Alligator mississippiensis: one gene and its partner. The main gene of each other region encodes a partner of the protein of the gene in region 2 in a complex. Links are inferred from orthologs where the notes say so. Each region holds a gene or a part of one and is shown on either strand. Other genes may lie near its edges. The genes, in order: INSIG2 and SCAP.

What was found.
Region 1: the proteins of SCAP (region 2) and INSIG2 are in contact, whole or in part, in a cryo-EM structure (PDB 7ETW), measured with the Homo sapiens proteins. The link is inferred for Alligator mississippiensis from reciprocal best matches to the Homo sapiens genes SCAP and INSIG2. Residues at the interface, in NP_036367.2 of Homo sapiens: Pro200, Ser206, Val282, Ala283, Glu284, Ile286, Pro287, Thr290, Ile294, Ala297, Tyr298, Phe301, Lys305, Tyr351, Val354, Val355, Glu359, Thr409, Leu410, Val411, Ser638, Tyr639; in NP_001308258.1 of Homo sapiens: Phe41, Val45, Leu48, Leu49, Ile51, Val55, Leu57, Phe58, Pro59, Val62, Ser65, Ile66, Glu104, Trp105, Ser106, Met109, Arg110, Val112, Ala113, Val114, Val116, Gly117, His120, Gln132.

What each region holds. Positions count from the first base shown.
Region 1 is NC_081827.1:242,410,527-242,421,618, forward strand, and holds the start of INSIG2 (insulin-induced gene 2 protein), read left to right. Parts: upstream 1-6,628; 5' UTR 6,629-6,717; intron 6,718-7,072; exon of another isoform or gene 7,073-7,145; intron 7,146-11,092. UniProt on the Homo sapiens protein: Oxysterol-binding protein that mediates feedback control of cholesterol synthesis by controlling both endoplasmic reticulum to Golgi transport of SCAP and degradation of HMGCR.
Region 2 is NC_081828.1:217,457,814-217,469,352, reverse strand, and holds the start of SCAP (sterol regulatory element-binding protein cleavage-activating protein), read left to right. Parts: upstream 1-7,231; 5' UTR 7,232-7,331; intron 7,332-7,363; exon of another isoform or gene 7,364-7,465; intron 7,466-9,943; exon of another isoform or gene 9,944-10,154; intron 10,155-11,539. UniProt on the Homo sapiens protein: Escort protein required for cholesterol as well as lipid homeostasis.

The DNA of each region.
Region 1 (11,092 bases), on a different chromosome or scaffold from region 2:
AGTGACTTTGGAGCTGGCTGGGACCTAGGCTGTGTCCTGGGTTGCTCCAGAGCCTGCCGAGCACCTAGGGTCTGCCCTGGGCCCAGGCACAGCAGCAGGACCAGGCAAGCTGCAGTAGGCAGCAGGCCTTTGAGATGCCTTGGATGGAGGAATGGTGATTGTTGAATTTCTGATGGAACTCAATCAGAGATTGCAGGTTTTCAGTCCAAATGATGAAGATGTCATTGATATATCTTAAGTATAGCAAGGGTTTGATGGTGCAGTTCTTGAAGAAGTCTTCTTCCAGCTGGCTCATAAAAAGGTTGGCATACTGCAGGGCCATTTTGGTGCCCATAGCTGTTCCCATCGTCTGGAGGAAGTGTTGGTTATTAAAAGTGAAATTGTTGTGTGCGAGGATGAAGCGTATAAGGTCAGTAATATCTTTGGGTCTGTATTCTGAGTTGTAATCTTGTTTCTGTAGATATGTAAGGCAGGCTTGGATGCCATCCTGGTGTGGGATGTTGGTATATAGGCTGGTATGGTGGCTAGGAGGGTGTTGCTGGGAAGGTGGTCTATGTTTTTAAGTTTCTGTAGAAAGTCTGTAGTGTCTTGGACAAAACTTGCTCCATGGGTGATGAGCGGTTTTAGGACTGATTCAACGAAACCTGATATTTCTTCAGTTAGGGTCCCATGGTTGGATATGATAGGTCTGCCGGGGTTCCCTTGTTTGTGGATTTTAGGGAGCATGTAAAAATTCCCCAGGTTAGGTAGTGGGGGGATCAAGGTCTGTAGTTTTTTCTTGTAATCCTGTTGGAAATGATTTGATGGTATTGGTATTACAGGACTACAATGGTATAACAGGACTACAAGAAAAACTTGTAGTATGGTATAACAGGACTATGACGCATTATAACCTGCCTGACAGCTGACTTCCCAGGTACTTCTCCACTCTTCAGCCCCCTTCTCTCCCCCACCCCCACCCCCACCCAGCCTGTCTCTCACCCATTGATTCCTCAATCTAAATCTTCACTGACTGCCTGTCTTGTATGCAGACCAGCCCAGCCTCTAGCTTCTTTACTTTTCATTCCACCCAGGAAGAGCACACACCAACTGCTAACACTTCCTTAGCCTGACGAAGGGTTATTGAACCCAAAAACTTGCTTAAATATTATTCTCCAATTATTTAGCTGGTCTAATAAAAGATATCAGATTCACCCAAAGAACCTTGTCTGATAACAGTAGACGCATTTCTGGTGCTGCATCTAATCTGTTCCAATACTTGTTCTTTGTAGCACTGTGTCTTGAGAAGCCAGTCTCACTCATATAGGTCATGGCAAAGGGCATGAGATGTTTCACAGCTTGATTTGCAATTTCAGTATACTGATCGGTAAGGAATGCTAATTTTTGTATCCAAAAAATGTCATGAATTCTGGACAAGATATCAAATGATGGTCAGAAAAAAAGGTGCATCTCTTTTGACAATACATAAATGTGAAGAAGCACTATTCCATGGGATAGCCCTCAAACCTCAGTGTGTAGCAAAAGACTCATGTGAACACTGCCCATGACACAAAACAGAAAATATCTGGGAGTGAAGAGGCCTGGCTTTAATATAATTTTTCACTGTCCCATCAAGCACAATTTTAAGCTCTCTTGGCATACCCTTTCTAGCAAGAGCAAGTCCATGTAGACTACAATGTCTGCTTTCCATGAGAGGCAACATTTTTAATGCACGCTACCCACACCCTTGACTTTTTCCATCATGACTTTTGCACTGTTGATACAAACATCTGTACGAAGTTCCCAGTTAATCATATTCTTTTGCATAAAACAATTAAGGATATTGAATATAGCCTTGCCTTTTGTACTTGTTTTAAGCAGGCAGCACAACAGCAGGTCCGCATGTAGAAGATTAAAAAGTATAGCACACGATTATGAGCAAGATAGCCAATCCTTCTTCTTTGGTAGATTCATCTAGTTGAATAAAAAACCCAACAGGACTATTTTTTATACAACTACCTCTGCTTGCCAGTGATCAGAAAGATCTTTGATGTGGTGAGAAACTGTATGGTCTGCATGAGGAATAATAGCAATGAGCTTTCTTAATTTTTTCACCCATTGTGCAAGTTAAAATTCCTTTTGTTCATGGCTTCCCTAAATTTTCAGCAATCATATGCACATCATCCACCTTAGCAATTAAAGAACTCACTTACAGGCTTGACAGTACTGTGCTTGCCAGCACCACAACTGAAAGAGATCTGGGGGTCATAATAGACCACAGAATGAACATGAGCCACCAGTACAATGCCATAGCTGGCAGAACTAATCAAACACAGGCGTGCATCTACTGATGCATCTGAAACAAGACTAAGGATGTCATCCTCCCGCTCTACTCAGCTTTGGTGAAACGGCAGCTGAAGTTCTGCATCCAATTTTGGGTGCCGCACTTCAGGAAGGATGTGGAGAAGCTTGAAAGAGTCCAAAGAAGGGCCACGCGCATGATTAGAGGTCTGGAGAGCAGGTCATATGAAGAGAAGCTGAAAGACATGGGACTGCTAAGCCTGGAGAAAAGAAGACTTAGAGAGGACGTGGTGGCAGCCTGTAAGTATATAAGGGGCATACAGCAGGGTCTGGGGAAGCATCTGTTCACCAAGGCACCCCAAGGGAAGACAAGAAACAATGAACACAAACTGATTGAGGATTGCTTCAGATTGGAGATAAGTAAAAAATTCTTTATGACCAGAGTGCCATGGGTCAGGAACAAACTCCCTCCAGAGGTGGTACAGACACCTACCCTGGAGATCTCTAAAAACGTGTGGACGCACACCTTGCTGGGGTCATCTGACCCCAGTTGTCGTCTTCCCTGCCCTAGTGCAGGGGGGCTGGACCTGATGATCTCGTGAGGTCCCTTCCAGCCCCTAACATCTATGAATTTATGAATCCTTCAAGAGCATTTCTGTTGTCTTAACAACAAAATAACATTAGGTAGTGATTTTTTAATAAAATTGTTACATTTCCTTTTAAAATAATCACCATGCATGTCTTTAACTTGTGGGTGTTTTGCCTCCAGAAGCTTTTGTAACTTTGCTGGATTCAGGCTGCTGTCAGGCAAAACTTGTCCACACTCAACACACTGTCCATCTGTCTTGTTTTTATCACCAGTCCAAGTAAAACCATAGTTAATGTAGCTTGCATGGTACTTATGTTTTGGTTTTTGATTCATTGCTCACTGGATAAAGAGCTTGTGACTGATTTGATATGCTGGCACATATAACAATAGAAGCACTGGTAATTACTTCCTGTTGTATTGAAATCTGGCATTTTTCCTGACTACTTTTCTTAACGTTGCCTGTTTTCAGTCACCAATCCATACTTTTTCTTGGTAAATCAAAAATATAAAATATTAAGAGACAGTTCAACACTGCTCTGACATCAAGGCACTTGTCAACTGACTGATTGAAATACGACGACGCAGAGACAGAATAATCACATTGGAACACCAGGCCTACATTGCTGCCAGATTTCGATCATGTACCTCTGTTTGTAAACTGTCCATCAAAACAAGGCGGGCAAATCTCATATCGTATTATTGTCCTATGAATAAAACATATGGCATGGATCGTCTCAGCAGAAAGGGTTAGAAAGACTGAGTTAATGTTTTTTTATCAATAAGTCACCATTGGCGGTGCGTAGAAGGTGCATGAGGGTACACGTGCACCCCCCTGAGATTGGCTGCTGCTGATGGCGTCTGCGGGGTAGCCACTCACCATCCAGCCCCCACTGCCGACGCTGCCGGCGGCGTCTGCGGGTGGTCACCAATAGCCACCCCCCCACCTCACCGCCGCGGCCACCTGCCAGGGTCCCCATTCAGCCTGCCGTCACTGCTGACATCACTGTGGCTGCCTGCAGGAGGTCCCCACTCGCCACCGCCGCTGACACCGCCACCTGTGGGCGATCACCGTGCCTCCCCCAGCCTCAGGAGGCACGAGGTGGTCATGTAAGTGAAACACAAGAGTCAAATTGCAAAATTTCAAAAAATAATTAACAATAAGTATATTTTACAAACTTGTCTGCTATTACCAATTTTTTTCCATGGAGCCCCCAAGACCTCCTCCTGGAACCCCAGGTAGAACACAATTTGAAAACCACTGATCGAAAACACTGGCCTCTCTCTTGCATCTAATCTCATTTGAGTCAATGCAACTGGGTTTAAGAGAAATCACTGGTGCTGCAGTGGATGTAAAGAGCTTGTGTGTGTGCATGTGTGTGTGTGTTTAGCTATTCACATGATCAGGGCATTTAGTGCTTATGTTATGATTTATTTGCACTTTTATTACAGCAGTTCTTCAGGATCATTTCTTTGCTGCTTTATGTTTTAGTGTTATTCATTCTTTACATAATCATTTCTCTTCTCACCCGTGTTGTTACTTCATGGTGGTTTCCTCATTCCCGTAGTTCTCAAACTTTTTAGACTCAAGGTATCTCTCATTCTGCTCTAGGCAGCCCTCAGAAAACACCAGCTCTTACTTTTTACCCAAGTTTTTGACTATGGAAAAATAACAGAATAATTGTTTTGTGGCAAAGAACTCAGAAAGCCCACAGCAAGTCAGAATCTTTTCAACACTATGGATGCCTATTTGAAATCTCTGGGTTTATCGTGTGAATCACATCTGCACACCTAAGGGTGCTAACGTTGCATGGCACCCCACAGCACCCTTGAAAAGATCCAGGAGCAGATTACAGGGAGGCGCAATGGCAGTCACTCCCCACCCTCCTTTAATTCCTGGTCTACCCAAAGTTTAAAATCAACTGCCTGGCAGAGGCTGCAGCATCTCTATTCAGGCAGCAGTGAAGGCATCACTTATCTTCATGCCTCATTATAATCTACCTGATTCCTTCTAAACTTTTCATACCACAGGTGTTAAACAACTTCCTTTCCTTTGTAATGGCCCTTATGATCAAATAATTGAACTATCTTCCTTTTGCAATTCCACTACCTACTAGCTGCTCCTGGTAATGTAGTTCCTATTTCAGAGGCCTGCTGACTGTCTTTAGCTAAAAACATTAACTTAGGCATGAAAATACATTTCAGTGAAGTATTGGTTGCACTGTCATGATGTTCAAGAAGACTAGATTTTGTTTTAGGAAGCTGAAAGAGATCTGTACATATATTTCTAGTGACTACAGGACTAACGAAACACACTCGATCTCTTTCTTTTTTGCCTAGTTTGTTGTGATGTTTTTACGTGATCAGAGCCGTCCCTTGGGGGGGGGGGTGCAAATCAGGACCACCGCCCCGGACCCCATACTTTGGGGGGCCCTGCAGATAGTGCCATTGGCATGTGCTGAGGGCACCATCACGCTGCTCCGGCCACCCCCCCACCCCTGCTCCAGCCGCTCCCAACTCCCTCTCCCCACCGCTCGCCAACCCCTCCACCGCCATGTCCCCCCGCACAGGCTGATATGCCCTGGGCCCTGCACACGCCTAAGATTGGCTCTGTACACGATATACAACACAGCGAATTCATACGCGTCCCAATACGCATGTATTTGTTTTTGCTTTGATCTTCAGCTGAATAATATAGCTCTAGGCCTCTTGTAAAGCTTCTAGTTTTTATGTACCTTAAAAAAAGCGCGTGCTGCGTTCACAGCCAGATCTAGACTTTGAAAAGGTGGGGTGCCCAGGGTGAGGTGCATCGTCACCTGTTAAACAAAACACATTTTTCCTGAAGTTAAAAAAGAAACTAGCTTTTCCAATACACTGGGAACCTAGGGCTGTATGATTCAGTTTCAGGTTAGAGCAGAAACAAATGCAAGGAATTGAAAATAGCCCGCAGGGCTGTGAAATAGGAGCTTCATTACCAGGAGCAGCAAAAACAGGGCAGAGCGGCGGAGGAAAGGCTGGCTTGACCGGGGCAGGCAAGGGTCTTTGGGTAACGTGCATATAGAAAGAGACTCAAAGACCCTTGCCTGCCGATGTCCTTGGGCCAACCAAAAACCTAGCTTGCTGGGTGCGTTCAAAGACAGTTCAAAAGAAGAGAGGGTCCTTAACCCCAGAGGATGAAGACCTCAGATTCAATGAGCCATGATGTCAGGCGACTCCTCAGCGCCGCCCCACCACAAACACTGCTGCCAGGCAGTGGGGGGTTTAAACTTTGGCTGCAGCAGGCACCAAAAGGGAGACCTGACTTTATTTCTGGCTCATTGTCAGGGACCAGATTCCTTCTCCCCCCGGCTGCACTACATGTACTAATGTCCTGCAGCGCCTGCACCCCTTCCTCACACCCCTGGGAGGCCCTGCAGGAGAAGCACCGTGTGAACAAGGCTTCACCCTCTTGCAGGGGGGGACAAAAGCATCCCTCCTTTCCTGCATTTTCAAAAAACCTCAGATCTACCCAAAAAAACTGCCCTGTGCACCACTCCCCCGAAGCAGCTGCTCCCCCCCTCCCCCTCCCCCTTCTCCTTCTCCTTCTCCTTCTCCTTCTCCTTCTCCTTCCAATCCGCCCCTCCCACGTGCACCACTCGACTGCAGCGGAAGCGCAGCTGCCCCGACCTCCCCAGCTCCCCTCTGCCGGCCGGAAGTCCCTCCGCCCCGACTTCCCTCCCTCCCTCTTCCCAGGCAACCGGCCGGAAGTCCCTCCGCCCCGAATCCCCCTCCCTCCGGCCGGCCGGAAGTCCCTCCGCCCCGAGTCAGTTGCAGCGGGTTGAGGCGGGGGAGGGAGAAGATGGCGGAGCAGGGTGAGCGGCGGCGGCGCGGGGGCTTTGGGGGGTGGGGGATGATGCTGAGCGTGGACGGCATCGCCTGTCCGCCGGGGGGAGGCGCCCGGGCCTTGGACACGGTGTCAGGGGCGAGGCTGGGGCAGCCCTTGGCTGAGGGGCCTCCAGCTGGTGGGGGGTCTCAGGCCTGTCCCAGCTCTGGGGAGAAGCCCCCTGCGATGTGGGGCCCTGAGGTGGCCTCGCTGGGGCCCATTCTGCTCCCTCGGCTTTTGAGGGTCCCCCCCGGCCTCGCCTCCTCGCTTGAGGGACACCATCAATTTGGGGAGTCATTCGCGTGGGAGCTGGCGCCAAGTTACCCTCCTTTTGGCAGATGTCAAGCCCCCGCACCGCTCGGCCGTCCCGTGCCACTCGTGCTGGAGGTTGCCCACCCCTGTGCCAAGCGATTGGAGGTGCTCGTGAGGGTGGATGCCGTGACGCGCGGTGTTTGTAAGCCATCCATGGTGGCAGTTAAGTTAATTTGCGCGGCGTGGAGCATCTTGCCTGGTCACGTGTGCATGCCCTCGTGCAAAAGTTTGCGTTGAAGTAGCACGTCGCGGAAAGGATGAAGTGTGGCGAAAGCTGTCTCCTCACAGGCGTTGTCTCTGTCGCTTTCTGCTAGCGCCGTGGCGACGCGTCGGGGGTGCACGTGCACCCTGACTGGCCACGCTCCCCGCTTAGGTGATGGGGAGGGGGGCCTGCAGGGAGATTGGCCCCGGGGGGGACAGCCCCCAGTTGGTGACTGGTCCCTAGGGGGGGCACGTGCCCCCCCCCCCCACCCCTGACTAAGGTGGCTTTGAATTTCCATTTTCAAAAGAAGAAAGCTCAACGGTTCAACCATATTGTAGGTTCAGCATTCAACCTGTGATAGCCCAGTTTAGACAGGAATAGAAATTTGGGATGAAATGTAACAAGACTTCAATTATCCTGTGTGTGTGATACCTTCATACTTCCTATTCCCAAAGATGTTGTTCATAATTGACTCAAAAGATCTTGATCATGTCTCTCTTATTAGAGGAGGCTAAGTGATAATGCAGTCTGTATACATCGGACCTATGTGAGGATCGTGGTGCAAACCCTGAAAGGTACCGAGTTGGTTGTTAACTCTTCTTTACAGGTGGAGGAGCTGAGGAGCAGAAGTAAGGTGACTCACTATGAAGTGCTACAAAAAGTCAGCGTAGGATTAGAATTAATGAATCTCGGGGGCGTATTCTCCTGCTTAAACAATACACTGTGGTAGTAGCTCAAGAAAAGATGCTGGCTTTTACAAGCACATTCACAATGTGTATTGCTGCATTTGCACTAGAAATTTCATTAATCAGAGCAGTTAGATAAAATTATTTGAGCTTGGTATAGAGCAGAGGTTCTCAACCTGTGGTCTGTGGACCACCGCTGGTCCGTGAGCTCCATTCGGGTGGTCTGCAGAAAGGTTGTGGAACAATTGAGAATATCTGTACTTGGCCCTGCACTTGATTTATTTTTTCTGACGACAGAGATTAAGTCGTCCGCTGATAGCCTCAGCACTTTTCAAGTGGTCTGTGAAAAGAAAAGTTTGAGAACCACTGGTTTAGAGTTTGCTTTGTTAGTAGCATGATTACAGGTGAATTATAGCTGTCAAGTAACTATAACTACAAACTGCTATCCCTTTCATCTCATGCTTTCTGTTGTACTCTTTAAGTTGTGTAGCAATGTCACAGTCTGATTTGGAGGTCCCACAGCTGTTTTGAGGTTGAGTGACTTATTCCACTAATCTAATTTGACACAGGTCACTTGCCACTCTCCCTGTCTTTCATTTTACTTGATTCTCAATTTCCCTGTCTTGTTCTTCTGTCTCCCCCTCTTTGAGGGCAAGCATGATGTGAAATTACAATGGCAGCAATGAAGATAAACTTCCACTTTCTTATTTAAAGGAAAAAGTCTCTTAATGCAATGAAGTGCTGATGCAGTGCTGTTGAAACCAAAAATGTAAGACAGGTTTATTATCTTTCATATCATGCCAGTGATACATAATTAATTAAGAGGATAGCACAGTATCAACAGCAGAGACATGAGTCCTAGGTTAGGGCTGGGCTTTGCTAAGTGAGCTGTCTGACCAGAAAATCCAGGTAAAGTATAAGAGAAAATATCTACGAGAAGCTTATTTTCTATAAACTAGAATATGCCTTGTCTGATTCTCATTCAGTTAACAAGTCACATTAGCAATGAGATCTGTTAATATTCTGATCTGGTTATGTTTTAAACTCATTTAGCACTGTTGGAAATAACACAAAAATTAGGGTGACAACAAATCTCAAGCACTCCTAATAATAGTAACATTGAAAGATGTTCTAAAGAACTGCCACATGAAGTTGGCACATGAACTGCCACATGAAATTGCATGTCCAGTACCAGGTATTTTTAATACATCTTTACAGTTGAAGTAATACAGCAACTGTAGCATGGCAAATATGGTAACTGTTAAGAGAAGAAAGTTATTTTGGATGGTACCTATTGTTAAGAGCAGAGACTTATTTTGGAACTACTGGTCCATTGGCTCAACCTTAATTATATGCTAGGCTTCTGAGCAAATTGTGATTGGAAAAAAATAACTAAAGACTTGGGGATCACATCTGGGCACCCTCCAGCCTGAGTAGCCAGGTACCCATTTACAGCTGGGGACAGTCTTTGGTGAGTCTCAAACTCACATCTCTAGAGCTGTAGCAAAATGCTAAAATTGCTCAGAAACTGTTTCCCTCTGCTAGAGATAAGAAAGCATAAGTGGTGTAAGACAGGGCAATTCATGTGAAATACTGTGTTAAATACCAATTACCTGTGGGCAGGAAAGATGAACACTCACTCAACTGCATTCAGAAAAGTCTTCTAGCATGGTCAGTAGAGAACATTGAGCTTGTTTCTGAGTGGAGACTAAAAGACCTTTGCTGTTTTAGCCTACAAAAATAGGGATGAGAGAGGTATTACTGTGGTCTATAAATAGGGACCTACCAAATTGTGTGATTTTTGTGGAAGCTGTGAAATTGAGTAGGGTCCACAAAACATAGTGGGCTCTGCAATTTTGGTTGCCTCATTGCCATCCTCCCTGTCCCAAACTTACCGATAAGCAGAGAAAAGGGTGGGAAGCCCCACAGTCTTGGAGCATGAGGGTGGAGGGGCAAGAGTGGAGGTAGCAGGGAGGGGAGGAAGGGCACAGCTGCTCACAGCAAGAGGTGAGGATGCTGCACAAACAGCTGCACCAGGATCCCAGGTCAGCTATGGCAGGCAGCCAGGAGACTGCATTGTGGTCCACAGAGCCCTGGCCTAGGTTGTTGTGCAGGGCTCTACTGACCCCAGTGCAGCCCCACAGCTGCCTGCCAGAGCCAGTCCAGGACCCTGGTGCAGCCCCTTGGCAGCATCCACCCTTGGGGGTGGCCCAAAACCGCAGTTTAATAACTCTGTTTAAGCCTGGGGAAACCATTAATCCACATGTAATAATATGTGAATGAATGGCTTCCTCGAGCTTTATTAGGGTAATTAAGATGCAGTTTTGGGCTATCTGGCAATCTGTGGGGAGGGGCAGGACTGCTGGGGCCCCTTGGCCAATCAGAGGTGTGTGGCAGGACACTTGGTGTGCCTGCCACTTTAAGAGGTGAGGTAGTCTGCTGAGACACTTGCAGGTGGGGTCACCTCTAATTATAAATCAGCTGACCCAGGGACTGGCAGGTGTGGCTAGGCCTAAGCCACAGGTTCACCTGCTTGCAAGGGAGATCCCTGATTGGAAGAGGGCTGGGCTTAGACTGGGTATAGGCCCAGAGCCTGGAGGCAGGGTTGGGAATAACATCTTGGGAGTTGGTGAAGGAACATCACCCAGCAGGAAGGTTGCAGCTCCTGAATTCTAGCTGGGTGAGTGTAGTGAGCATGGGGGCCTATTGAGAGGCCTGGATGAGCCCAGAGAAGGAAAGGGGCTGCGAAGAGGGACCTGTTGAGGGCTCCGGGTGAGCTCAGAGAGAGAGCAAATGATCTATGGAGGAGAGAGGGCTGGCAGCTGCAGGACTGACCCTGGGAACCTTGACTGGTCCAAGCTGGGGCCAGGGCCCAGGAAGGGCTGACGGGTGAAATAGCCCACTGCAAGAGACTACAAGAACTGGAAGATTGGAGTCTTGACTGGCCTGGAGGCAGGGCCAGGGCCTAGGAGAGGCTAGAAAGTCCCTGTGGGGGGTAGGGGGCAGGAGGGGCACAGCCAAGAGGGAGGGGTCAAGCAGCAGGTAGCCCAGGATGATGATGGATGGTGCTAGGTTATCTGAAAAGGAGGGATCATTGAGAACATGGGTCCAAGAATGAGCTGGGACCAGAGATAGAGCCAGGGCCAGGGGACCTGGTAGTTCAC
Region 2 (11,539 bases):
ACCAAATCTCAAGCCTGGTCATCCTGTTCTGCCTTTGTACGTCCCCCCTGCAATGTGATTGGACGATGTCATCTTCACTTCCTGTCCCAAACGAGGCCTCGCTGTGAGCTGTGCAGTCGTTGCCATGTTCCTTTATGGCTGGACACCAGGTGAACCCACCACCGAAGTGTGGTCTAGCGCTTAGCTCCCTTGGAAAACCTCTGCATTTTACCAGTGATAAAATGATAGGTGATGTGTGGCTGGGTGCATCTTCCTCTGCCCTTCCCCTCCCCAGTGTGTCTCTACCCAGACAATTCCCCCTTGGGGGCTTGTCTCCACCTTTTTACATGGGAGCATCGGTCTTCTAGGTTGTCGTGGCTGCTGAGAGCTGGTACATGATGCTTCTTCGTGCTCTCCAGCTGCCCATTGCTATGTGTGGCACCCAGGTGCAGCACTATCCTGTCCTCTGACGTTATCATTGTGTCATTGCTGCTGCCCTCGTCAGGTGCTACTGATGTGCTCCCAGTGTTGAAGTCTCAGGAACTGCAGTGCCAGCAAAGTGGCAGCCAGAAGATCCCAACATGAACCTTGTCTTAAAGGATGACCACAGGCTCGCTTCAGTGGCAAAGATTCGTTCACGTTTATTGTCTACAAGCACAGCCCTAACACGTTTTTGACTTAACAAGCGCATCAGACCAGGAGCCGAGACATCTGTTCGTGTGACCAGGTAGTCGGCACACCACCACGCAAGCTGCCATTGCTTTCCAGTTCTCCTTTTATACAGCGCTCCAAACAAAATTATTCCATCTGCATCTTGAAGATCTCGAACCGTCCTTTACCGGGGCTTGTTTCACATCCTGACCTGGGTGTTCCTGTTCCAGCCTCATCATCCTGCCACTGGACTATCCCACCTTGTACCCTCAGCTCTGCTTCCCAGCTCTTGGCATGTGAGTCCTCCAAGTTTTGTTTCTGTGCGGAGTTCATGCATCGGTCAGGTTTGTGGTGAGGCCTCCAGTGATCAGTGCTCCAGTGAGGCCCACATATCTCCTGCAGGGCAGGAAGAGCATCTAGGGGGCAGGCGCAGGAGCAGGTCCCCATTGCTTCCCCTCTAGAAATGACAGTTTTGCAGACAGTTCCTGATGTCCAAGGGCCTCCTGGAACACAAGGCTGCTCCCTGCAATGCCGGTTGGGGGAAACTGGCCCTGGGCTGGGATTCTTGGAAAGTTCAGGACTTGATGGAGGGTTTTGAGGCCCATCTTGCTTCTTACCTGTGAGCTGCAGGGAGGCACGCAGTGTTTGAGGGTGATCATTGCAACGAGAAGGGGGCATCCAGGGCACTATGCCAATGAGCTGATCATAGAAAATGAGGGCTGGAAGGGACCTCAGGAGGTCACATCCAGTCCAACCCCCTGCTCCAAGCAGGACCAGCCCCAGCTACATCATCCCAGCTAAGGATGTCTATCCAGGTCTTAAACACCCCCAAGGACAGAGATCCCACCACCTCTCTGTTTAACCCATTCCAGTGCTTCACCACCCTCCTAGAGAGAGAGTTTTTCCTAATATCCAACCTCAACTTCCCTTGCTGCAGCTTGAGCCCATTGCTCCTTGTCCTGTCATCTGCCCCCACTGAGACCAGCCCAGCTCCATCCTCTTTGCACCCCCCTGCAGGGAGGTGAAGGCTGCTATTCAATCCCCCTCGGTCTTCTCCTCTGCAGATTAAATCAGCCCAGTTCCCTCAGCCTCTCCTCACCAGTCCTGTCCCCCAGCCCTTGAACCATTTTCATTGCCCTCCACTGGACTCTCTCCAACTTGTCCACATCCGTTCTGTAGTGGGGGGCCCAGAACAGGACACAAGACTCCAGATGTGGCCTCATCAGTGCAGAATAGAGGGGAAGAATCATTTCCCCCAATCTGCTAGTAACGCTCCTACTAATGCAGCCCAGGATGCTGTTAGCCCCTTTGGCAACAAGGGCACGCTGCTGGCTCATAACTATCTTATTGTCCGCTGTAACCCCCAAGTCCTGATGCCTGGATAGAAATGGGAGATCCTCTCTGCAGCCAAATCTGAGAGGCAGTGAGCACTGGCAGCTCCTCTTCAAAAGGACAGGTGAAAATGGCCTGGAGCCTGGGGCAAGAAGTGACAACACGGGCTTGGCCAGAAGCAGCATCCAGTGGGGAAGCAACAGTGTTTCTAGCATGCTAGTAGTTTTGCAGAAGAGCCTCCACCACTGTGCAGCTTGCTTTTCTATGCTCCGTGTATTGACAGGAGGAACGTCCAGGCTCCCCCAATCTCCATGGCAAAGTGCAATCACGTTCTTGCAACCAACCTGGTTTCATCTAAGTCATCTAAAACAGGCCTGGCTGGATTGTAGCCACAAAGCAACCTCCAGGAGCCTTCTGTTGCGTCTCCACGTCAGGGTTGCCAATTCCAGATTTTTTTTTTGTTTACTGACAACCTGCAAACTTTTTACTGATGACAGAACTTTTTTTACTGACGTGTTTTTACTGACAGATGTCTTGCATAATCCTTCTGCCAGGCCCGGGACAAGGGCCGGGCTCATATTTAGGGGTTAACACCCACCATAATAAAAATTGTTTGCAGATCATTAGTAAAAAAAAATGTCTTGGGTTGGTGACCCTGCTTGACTGCAGCAATGTTTTTACACCCATCCCAAGGTCCCCTATTCACCTCTCACACACTGACACCCTTGACCACACTCCCATCTCACCCCACAGCCTTACCCCGACCGGCCCTGCACCACCTGTCCTAGCACAGACCTCTATCTGCCGCCTTTCCCTTCTCCCAACCCTACAGCTCCATGCTGGCTAAGCAGCTATTAGAGGCAGGCATAAGGGGTGGGGGAATGCAGTGGCAGCACATGGATGGGGAGTAGAGAAGGGGGGAACCACAAAGCCCTGGAAAGTGCTCTCTGCAGGGTGCCATGCTCCCACTCCGATGCTAGGTGGCACTGCTCTGCTCTGTCTGTCCATCAAGCTCACTGATTCTCTGTTTTTTAGAGACAGTTCCCATTATTTTTGTGCATCAAGGGTTTGTTTTTCCCCCTACTGCTTATGGGTTGTCTGTATATTTATGGACAGTTGGCAACCCTGCTCCACATCCAGTCTGCCACCTCACCTAGCTTGCAAGACTGCCTTCTAGGAAAACCTCAGCAGGGAGGAGAATGCCTGTTTGACGTGCATGCGGGCGAAGCGGATCATTTTAGGGATGCCCACACAGAGGTCTGGGAGAGTAATTTGACACCCCCTGCTGAGGGACCTTGTCCACCCTGCAGAAACAGGGAGGCAGCCACAAAAGCGAGGCAAGGGTGTCAGCAAGTTTTAAATACATGAGACATGGTTTAGGGCCAATCATGTCACTAACTTCCCAGGTCAGTTTAAAGCTACCATGTAGAGGGGGGCTGAAGGCATGAGGAGGTCATGACTGTAATTCTTCATATATTGTAGAAGCTTGGCTGCTTGTCCAATTCATAGATTTCATAGACATTAGGGCTGGATGGAACCTCGTAAGATTGAATCCAGCCCCCTCGTCAGATTGAATCCAGCCTGACCAATGGGCAGGAAGTCAGTTAGGAAGTCCGTGATCTCAGAGTACCCAAATCTATCTAAAGTGCTGTTTGCAAAGCAGAACAGTGGGAGAAGAAATTTGAGGCTTGAAGGGGAACGTCTACATCCTGGCAGCAATGTGTCCTTCCTGGAATGGTTCTGGATACCCCCCACCAATCCAGCAATGGTGTTTGGCCTGGGAAAATGTGCAGCAAGGGCCATAGTCCCAGGACCAGACATGGCAACACTGTGCTCCAACTGGGACCTGACAGAGACCACCCCCGCGGGGTATTTAAAACACAGTATTGACAAACTTATAGGAAAACCCCATCCTCTACCTGGGAAAAGTCCCGGTGCAACGAATGTAAACAGGCCACAGCAAGGTTGGGGCTGGGCATCACGTAATGCAGCTGACGCTCCAGTGAAGGGGTTGAAAAACGTGCCCCAAAAGCAGCACTGTGGAGAGAGATGTCATCAGAGCAGGGGTCAGACCTTTTCTAGTCTCTTTGCTGCTGCTGCTGCTTTGTTCTCTGCTCTTTCCCCTGCTCTGTCCCTCCCCACCCCCCCCCAGTGCCACCGCCCCCTGGTTACCTATTCTCAGGTGTCCACTGGACATGGGAATACCTTTTTTATTCCCTGCATGGCTTGTGTAGGGTTTCAGATGCCAGGGTTTTGCTTCTCCCCCACCTGTGGCAGCTGACACCTCTGTGAGATGTTCTGACGTGCTGCTGGCTCAGCTCTGACCCTGCTCTGTCCTCAGGCTGTGAAGAAGCTGAATCTGTGGGCATAGGAAAAGTGCATCTTGCATCTCTCCCTCTGGCATTGTGACAGGTTGCTGGGCAGCTCCATGGTGGGTGCTGTCCCGAACTGAGTCCTGGCAAGTCACAGCAAGCCAGTCACCATGACATGGTTGCTTTCATCCTGTTTCTGCTACAGCAGACATGGCCTACAACAAGCGGCTGCTTGCAGGTGCCGAGTGTGGGCTTGACACACGGAAACATTTCAATTAATTCCCTATTATCACAGCCTGGCTGGAAGCCACAATGGTAACCTCATCCCTTGGCAGGACTGCCCCAGCCTTGGAGGAAAGGTCAGCCTGTGCTTCAGCACAATCTGCCCCGCTTCCACAAATGCCTGGACCTGGGGGAGTAATTCACATACCCAGAGCTAACCTTGGGCACCTGGCTCTCGTAGGCCACACAAGGAGGTTGTTACAGTCATGAATGGAAGTTAATGCCCTGCAGCAATTGATGTGGACAACGTGGTTTTGCAGTGTCCTGCCCTTGCTCAGACTCCCGGGTGCAGCTGCTGCATGTGGGGAACACCTGCAATGTCCCTTGGAGCTGCCCCATGAGGGTTCATCTGGGACATAGGCAGCTGGGCCACTAGGAGCAACCTGGGGGTCAACCAGGTGGGAGCATTCATTACCCAAGTGCCAGGTTGGGGTCTGGGTTGGAAGGTTGGAGAAAGCAGGGACCAAGGTCCAGGAGAGCGAAAAAGGGAGATCCAATAGGCACAGTGCGACGTGAGCTGAGATCCAAAACCAGGGGTCAGAGAGCCAGTACCAAGTTCCAGGGCAGATTCAGGGTCAGGGCCAGGGAAAGCTGAAGCCAAGTCAGGAGCCAGGAGAATCAGATAGCAGCGTCCATGAGGCTTGCAAAACAGACCTGGGGCTGCAGGTGTGCTTGAAAGGGGTGAGTGGTGCCTTCAGCTGCCATTCAGTTGCAGAGAACTGGGGTGGTCGGATTAACCAGGGATCAGGGGCAGGCGAGAAACTCGGGTGCTTGGCCTAGCTGGGCATGCCTGATCAGAGACCCTAACAGACCCTAGCTTCCTCTACCATCAGGGGGAGCAAATGGCTTTGTGCAGCACCTAGCACGACGGGAGTCTGGTGTGCAGGGAGGGTGTCTAGGTGCCAGAGCGAAGCTAGCAGGTATGTGACGTCTGTGTGTGCATTCAGATGATGCCGGTTGCAACAGCGTGTAGCGTTCTTGTCTGTCCCTGCTGCTCCTTGCCTGTCTCTGCTTCTCCCAGCACTTGTTCAGCCTTGCCAGTGTGCCCAGGACTATGTCACCTGCAGGGCCCCTGGCTGCTGTGTCCCTGGAGGCCAGCCTGAGCTATCTTCAACAGCTCAAGTCTAGGCAGTGATAGCACAGGCCTGGCCTCTGACAAAGGAGGGGGTTCCTACGTATTGCACTGACCACACAGTCCCGCAAGCATGGCATGGAGCATGGGCGGTCCAGCAAGTCTGGCTTAGGGCAGCTGATGCCTCTGTGAGATGATCTGCTGTGCTGTTGGCTCAGCTCCCACCCTGCTCTGTCATTGGGCTGCAAAGGCACCGAAACTGCAAGTCTAGGAAGGGCCAGTCTTGCTGCCACCCTGGCTTTAAAAGCACCTCTCCCTCTCCGGCATCGTGACAGCTCGTCGGGCAGCTCCATGTCCTCTCCAGCGGCTGCCGAAGCCCAGCAGCGGGAGCCCAGTTGCCTTGGTGCTGCGCTGCAGGGGTTGATCCAGCCAGCAAAGGTTTGCCTAGAAGCACCATCCCACTGGAGGTCACTGAGAGGAAGCTTCCAAATTGCGTAAATATTGTTAATGTTTCTCCCCCTCCACGCCGATCCTGGCTTTTCTGCAGGAGGTCCAAGTGCTTCCACGAATGGTCAAAGGTACCTGAACCTGTCAGCGAGGGCTCGCTCCCTCCAAGCACCCCGGGACGATTCGTTCACCAGTTGCTTGTCTGGCTTTCACGATCATCCTGGTCCTAGCGGTTGAGTATTATGCTCCTCACCACGGGCACGTCAGCAACGATCCTCAGAGAGACGTGGGCATCTGACCACCCTTTACCCTCATCTGTGAGAGCAGGATGGGTTTTTACAAGGGATTTTTAGCTTATTTTATAAGGAACGGTTTGATGAAACGGCTGCCAGCGCACACGTGGCGATGCCATAATCGTTTCCAGCGTGCCCTTGCTTTACCGACCCCGTCTGGGTGGCCGGATTAACCATCCAGAGGATCGTCCCCCCCACCCCGGAGCTCCCCCTCAGGCACCGCGCAGAAATAACGTCGCGCAGATCGTGGACCGGGACAACGAGGGCTGAAGGGACCTCGGGAGGTCACGTCTCATAGACGTTAGCCTCAACGCACCCGGGCTTGTCCTCAAAACCTCCAAGGATGGAGACTCCTCTGCTGCTCCGGGGAGCCGGTTCCAGTGTATCACCGCCCTCCTCGTGAGAGTTTTTCCTAATATCCAACCTCAACGTCCCTTGCTGCAGCTTGAGCCCATTGCTCCTTGTCCTGTCATCTGCCCCCACTGAGAACAGCCCAGCTCCATCCTCTGTGCAACCCCCTGCAGGGAGCTGAAGGCTGCTATTCAATCCTCCTCAGTCTTCCCTTCTGCAGTCTAAATCAGCCCATTTCCCTCAGCCTCACCTCACCAGTCCTGTCCCCCAGCCCCACCACCATTTTTGTTATCCTCCACTGGACTCTCCAATGTGTCCACATCCTTTCTGTAGTGGGGGGGGGGGGGTCACAGCTGGACACAGCACTCCAGATGTGCCCCCACTCCCCACCCCATATTGCTCCACGCCGTCCCACCCCCGCCGCCATGTTGCCTCGCTCTGGCTGGCGGGCGGGCGGGCGGGGGCGTGGCCACGCGCTGGATGGGCGGGGCCATGCGTGGGCGCGGCGTGACGTCACGGGGTGAGAGGGCAGAGGGCGCAGGGAGCTGCAGCCGCAGCCGGCCGGGAGCCGGAGCGAGGCTGAGCGCGCCAGGAAGGTGGCGCGGCCGGAAGGTGCGGACCCTACTTCCGGCCCCGGGGGGCGGGACCCCCGACCCATTCTCCTCAGGCGGGGCGCCGTTAGCAGCGCGGGTCGTGTCGTGGCCTCCGCGGTGGTGTTGCCCCCCTCCCTCCCCCCCGGTGCCATGGTTAGTAGCGGGGGCGGGGCGGGTGTCATCCCTGCCGTTGGTGCCGGCACTGACTGACTTTACATCAGTTTTACGACTGGTCCCGTTATTGGTGGCACAATGAATACCTTACCTGTATCATTGGTATTGCCGCGTCTTGGGATCATCGCTGTTTATTGGTATCGTTACTTATTAGTAACCATTGCTGTTGTTCCTGATTACTCGGTCAATAAGTATCGTTACTTATTGGTATCGCAATCGATACCTTACTGGCATCGTTGATACCGTTATTTATTGGTGTCCCGAGTGCGATTGGTCCCATTGTTGGTGTCACGTTTAATATCTTACTAGTATCATTGATATATTGCTGTGTATTGTTATTGTTCCTTATTAGTCAGTAAGTATAATAAGGTTTCTCTGGTATACTCTGGTTTCTCTTCAGATCGCATAAATCTTTCACCTTTTTACTAAAGATTTTCGTGGAAGTATAGTAAGGTATCCTTGCTTGGGGGAGTAACGGTAGTTATTGGTATCATAATCAGTATCATACTAGTATCGTTCATACCGTTATTGATTGGTATCGTTACTTATTAATATTGTCACTTGGTATCGCAAGTAATATCTCACTAGCAGGGATCCTGGCTTTCTATGACTTAAAAAAAACAAACAAACACCCCCATTTTTGGTTTAAAACAAAAAGAAAAGTAACCCCAACTCCACGTTGTTCTGTGACTTTAAACGAAACGCCGTCAATATATAGATATACATGTACCTCTGCAGTACATACAGATGCTTGTATATTATATATGTATATCTGTATATTGGCAGCGTTTCATTTAAAGTCACAGAACAACGTGGAGTTGGGGTTACTTTTTTTTAACCAAAAATAGAAAAACAAATCCCCAATCAGAGAAAATAAGCAGATCCCTGCTTATTAGTTGTATTGGTATTGTTGTGGGGTATTAGTACCCATTGATTGGGGGGGGGATATTGGTATCCATTGATGCTGGGGGGGGGGGTCGGTGTTAGTGTCCATTCATGCCTGGCCAGGGGGGGCGGTTAGTGCCCATTGATGCCTGGGGGGAGGCAGGGGTTAATGCCCATTGATGCCTGGGGGGTGGGATATTGGTATCCATTAATGCTGGGGGGGGGGTGGGTATTAGTGCCCATGGCTGCCTTGGGGTGGTGGTGAGGGTGGTGTTAGTACCCATTGATGCCAGGGGTGGGTGGGTATTAGTGCCCATTGTTGCCTGGGGGTGGTGGTATTTGTACCCACTGATGCCCGGGGGAGGCAGGGTGGTATTAGTGCCCTTTGTTTCCTGGTGGGGGAAGGTATTAGTGCCCATTGATGGCGGGGGGGGAGGGGGTATTAATGTTGTTATTTTATTAGTATCAATAGCCTCATTACTTTGTTTGTCATTAGTATCTTTATCTGATGATGGGTATCACTATGATTATTACTGTTATCATCATGCTAATTACCTGACCCTGCTCGTCAGTCAAGCAGAAGCCACTTGGCCCCGGCAGTTTGGGGAGGGGGATTTGTTGCCTCCTTTTTCCAGTTAGGAGATGGCTGGGCCTAGCCAGGGAGGTGGAGAAGTCACTGCCAAGGAGAGGTCTGTGTTAGTCTGGGAGCCGTGTAGGTTTGCACCTTGCAGACCGACAGAAACGAGCTGTATAGCCTGAGCTGTGAGTAGAGGGCTGGTTTCCTCTGATCCAGGTGTGACGGGGCCCCGTGTAGGCGTGTTGGGCCGAGCTTGTCTTGCTCGGGCTCCGGTCGAGCAGGCTGGTGCACCTGAGGGGCTTGTTTTAGATGCTTGGTTGTGGGCTGGGAATCAGGCTCTGCTAGGCAAGAACTGCTCCCTCAGGCATGGTGCGTGCTGCGTCCCAAGCGGCCTTGCCTGGTGAAAGGGTTAAATAGTAACTAAGGAGGGTGGCAGCATTAAACAGCCTGGGGAAAGGGAAGGGAGGACCATTCAGCTAACCTTACCTACCCTGCAGAGACCGAAGCTGCTTAAGACCTGCAGAAGACGGGGATCTCTGTCCCTCCTGTAGCTGGACACTGAGACTATTGGAGGCAAGTGCTAGATGTGGGAAGAGAAGTAGAGAGGGCTGGTTGCTTGTTCACCTCTGTAGAAGAGCCCAAAACATTCAGCTGGGAGAAACTTCTTGTTTGAGGCTTGTGGAAGCATAGGGTGGCCTGAGGGGCTGTAGGGGAGCCATTGCCTGCAGAAGAAGGGAATAAAAATAGGGAACAGAGCATCTGATCATCCCACGGATGAAGGCAGGGGGTAGTGACTGGTGTAGTGTTATGACTCTGAGCTGTTGCTCCTTTTGCAAAAGGAGAGCAGGGGGCAGAGCGTGGGTGCAGAAGACACGGGGAATAAATAGGCACTAAGAGGACGTGTGAGAAGGAGGGGAAGTCCTGTGGATGCTGCTGTGGGCTGATGGACCTGGTGGACCATGTATTTTTTTTTTTTTTTTCATGCTGGTTAGCAGTCTAATCCATGGGGTTGTGAATCCAGCAAACGTTCCAGCTCTGAAAGAGCAGGTGGCGGCTTCTGAAATCAGTGGGGAGGGAGCTGGACTTCTCTGTCCGTTACAAGGGGGAGAAGTTGTGCATTTGGGACTTGGAGCATGGAGAGAAGGAGCTGTTGTGTCCAATGCCTTTTGCCAAAAATCTCTGGATGCAGCTTCCAGTTTTCTGACGGTTCGTAAAATACAAACAAGCTCCTCTTTTGTACCTTGCTTTTGTTTGTCCTGGGATCCCAGTGCTTGAAATTAGTGTATTGCCACAGACATTTTAATTAATGTCATAAGATTAGGATTACAGGAGCTGTGGTGTTTCAGCAAATGGATCAGTTGGTTTATTCCTTTCTTTAAAAAAAAAAAAAGAAAAAAGTGGCTTAGGGTTGGTGGGGGAGTTTTTCTGGTTTTTTTTAATTCTGCACGTATAAACTGCTGGTTGTTGTGCTGCTGTTGGCCTCTCATTCATCCCATGACTGAGAGGAATCACCTGAATGGCTGATTCTAGCTCTGATCTGAATGTTTGAATTTCAGCATCATATGTTTACATTATGAAATCTAGCTTGAATAATTTGATCCACTAAAAGCTATAGAAGAGCAGAACAGAGTCAGTTTTCTGTTTCAGGATTGCATAAACAGCCTCCTACTACTTGAAACCAAGGTGTATGAAATTTGTCAAATGAAGTTGGTATTGAGGATAGCTGTTGGGAGAATTATTTAAATCATATGTGGATATGTCCAGTAAGAATCTCATCACAGACATGGAAGTAAATCATTCAACCGGGGGGTTGGAAAGAATGACTGCTCTTCAGACTGGAAGAGATGAAGCTTGGCTGAGCAACTAAGGGGGGCTGTAGCTGAGGACAAATAACTAAAGTGGACAAGCTAAAGAAGAAGGAAGTGGCTGTGGTGCAGAGATGTTACCGAATGTGTGGAGGTCAGGATTTGTTTGGCTTATTCCTGATCGCTGCTAGCTTGCTGTGTCTCTTGGAAGAAAGCTGCTTAAACTCTGGCTGTCCATGCCGGTCTGTAGGGTAGGATGATTTTCACTTTATAAAATGGCTTTTTTGGTGCTTTGGTAATACAAATAACATAGGAGCCCCAGTCCTGGATCATGGCTCTTCTGTGCTTGGAGCAGTATAAATGCACCATAAAAAAACCAGAAACCCAGTGCCAGCAGCAAAGAGCTTGTAATCAAAGGGGAAGACCAGAAAGATCAGATGGGTGCAGCCAGGTGGGAGGAATACTAAGAGACTGGATTAGTCAGCATCATCGACATTGGTTTTAGCACATCAGCAGCCCTGATGTTGGTGTTTTTGTTGGCATCCTGATGGAGGGAGTTGAACTTTACAAATGATTAAGTGCTCTTGACATGCAAAGTGCTTATGCTATAAAGGGATACAGCCTGGAAGAACAGCAAATCCTATGAATCCAGGAAAGCTCGGGCTGCATGTTAAGTTCTTTATAGTGAACTTCTTGCCTCTTCGGCTTGTGGCCTGTGATCATTTTACTCTTTGTTTCCCCATTTCAGTGTCCTGCATCTTTCACTGGCAAACACATTCAGGCTGC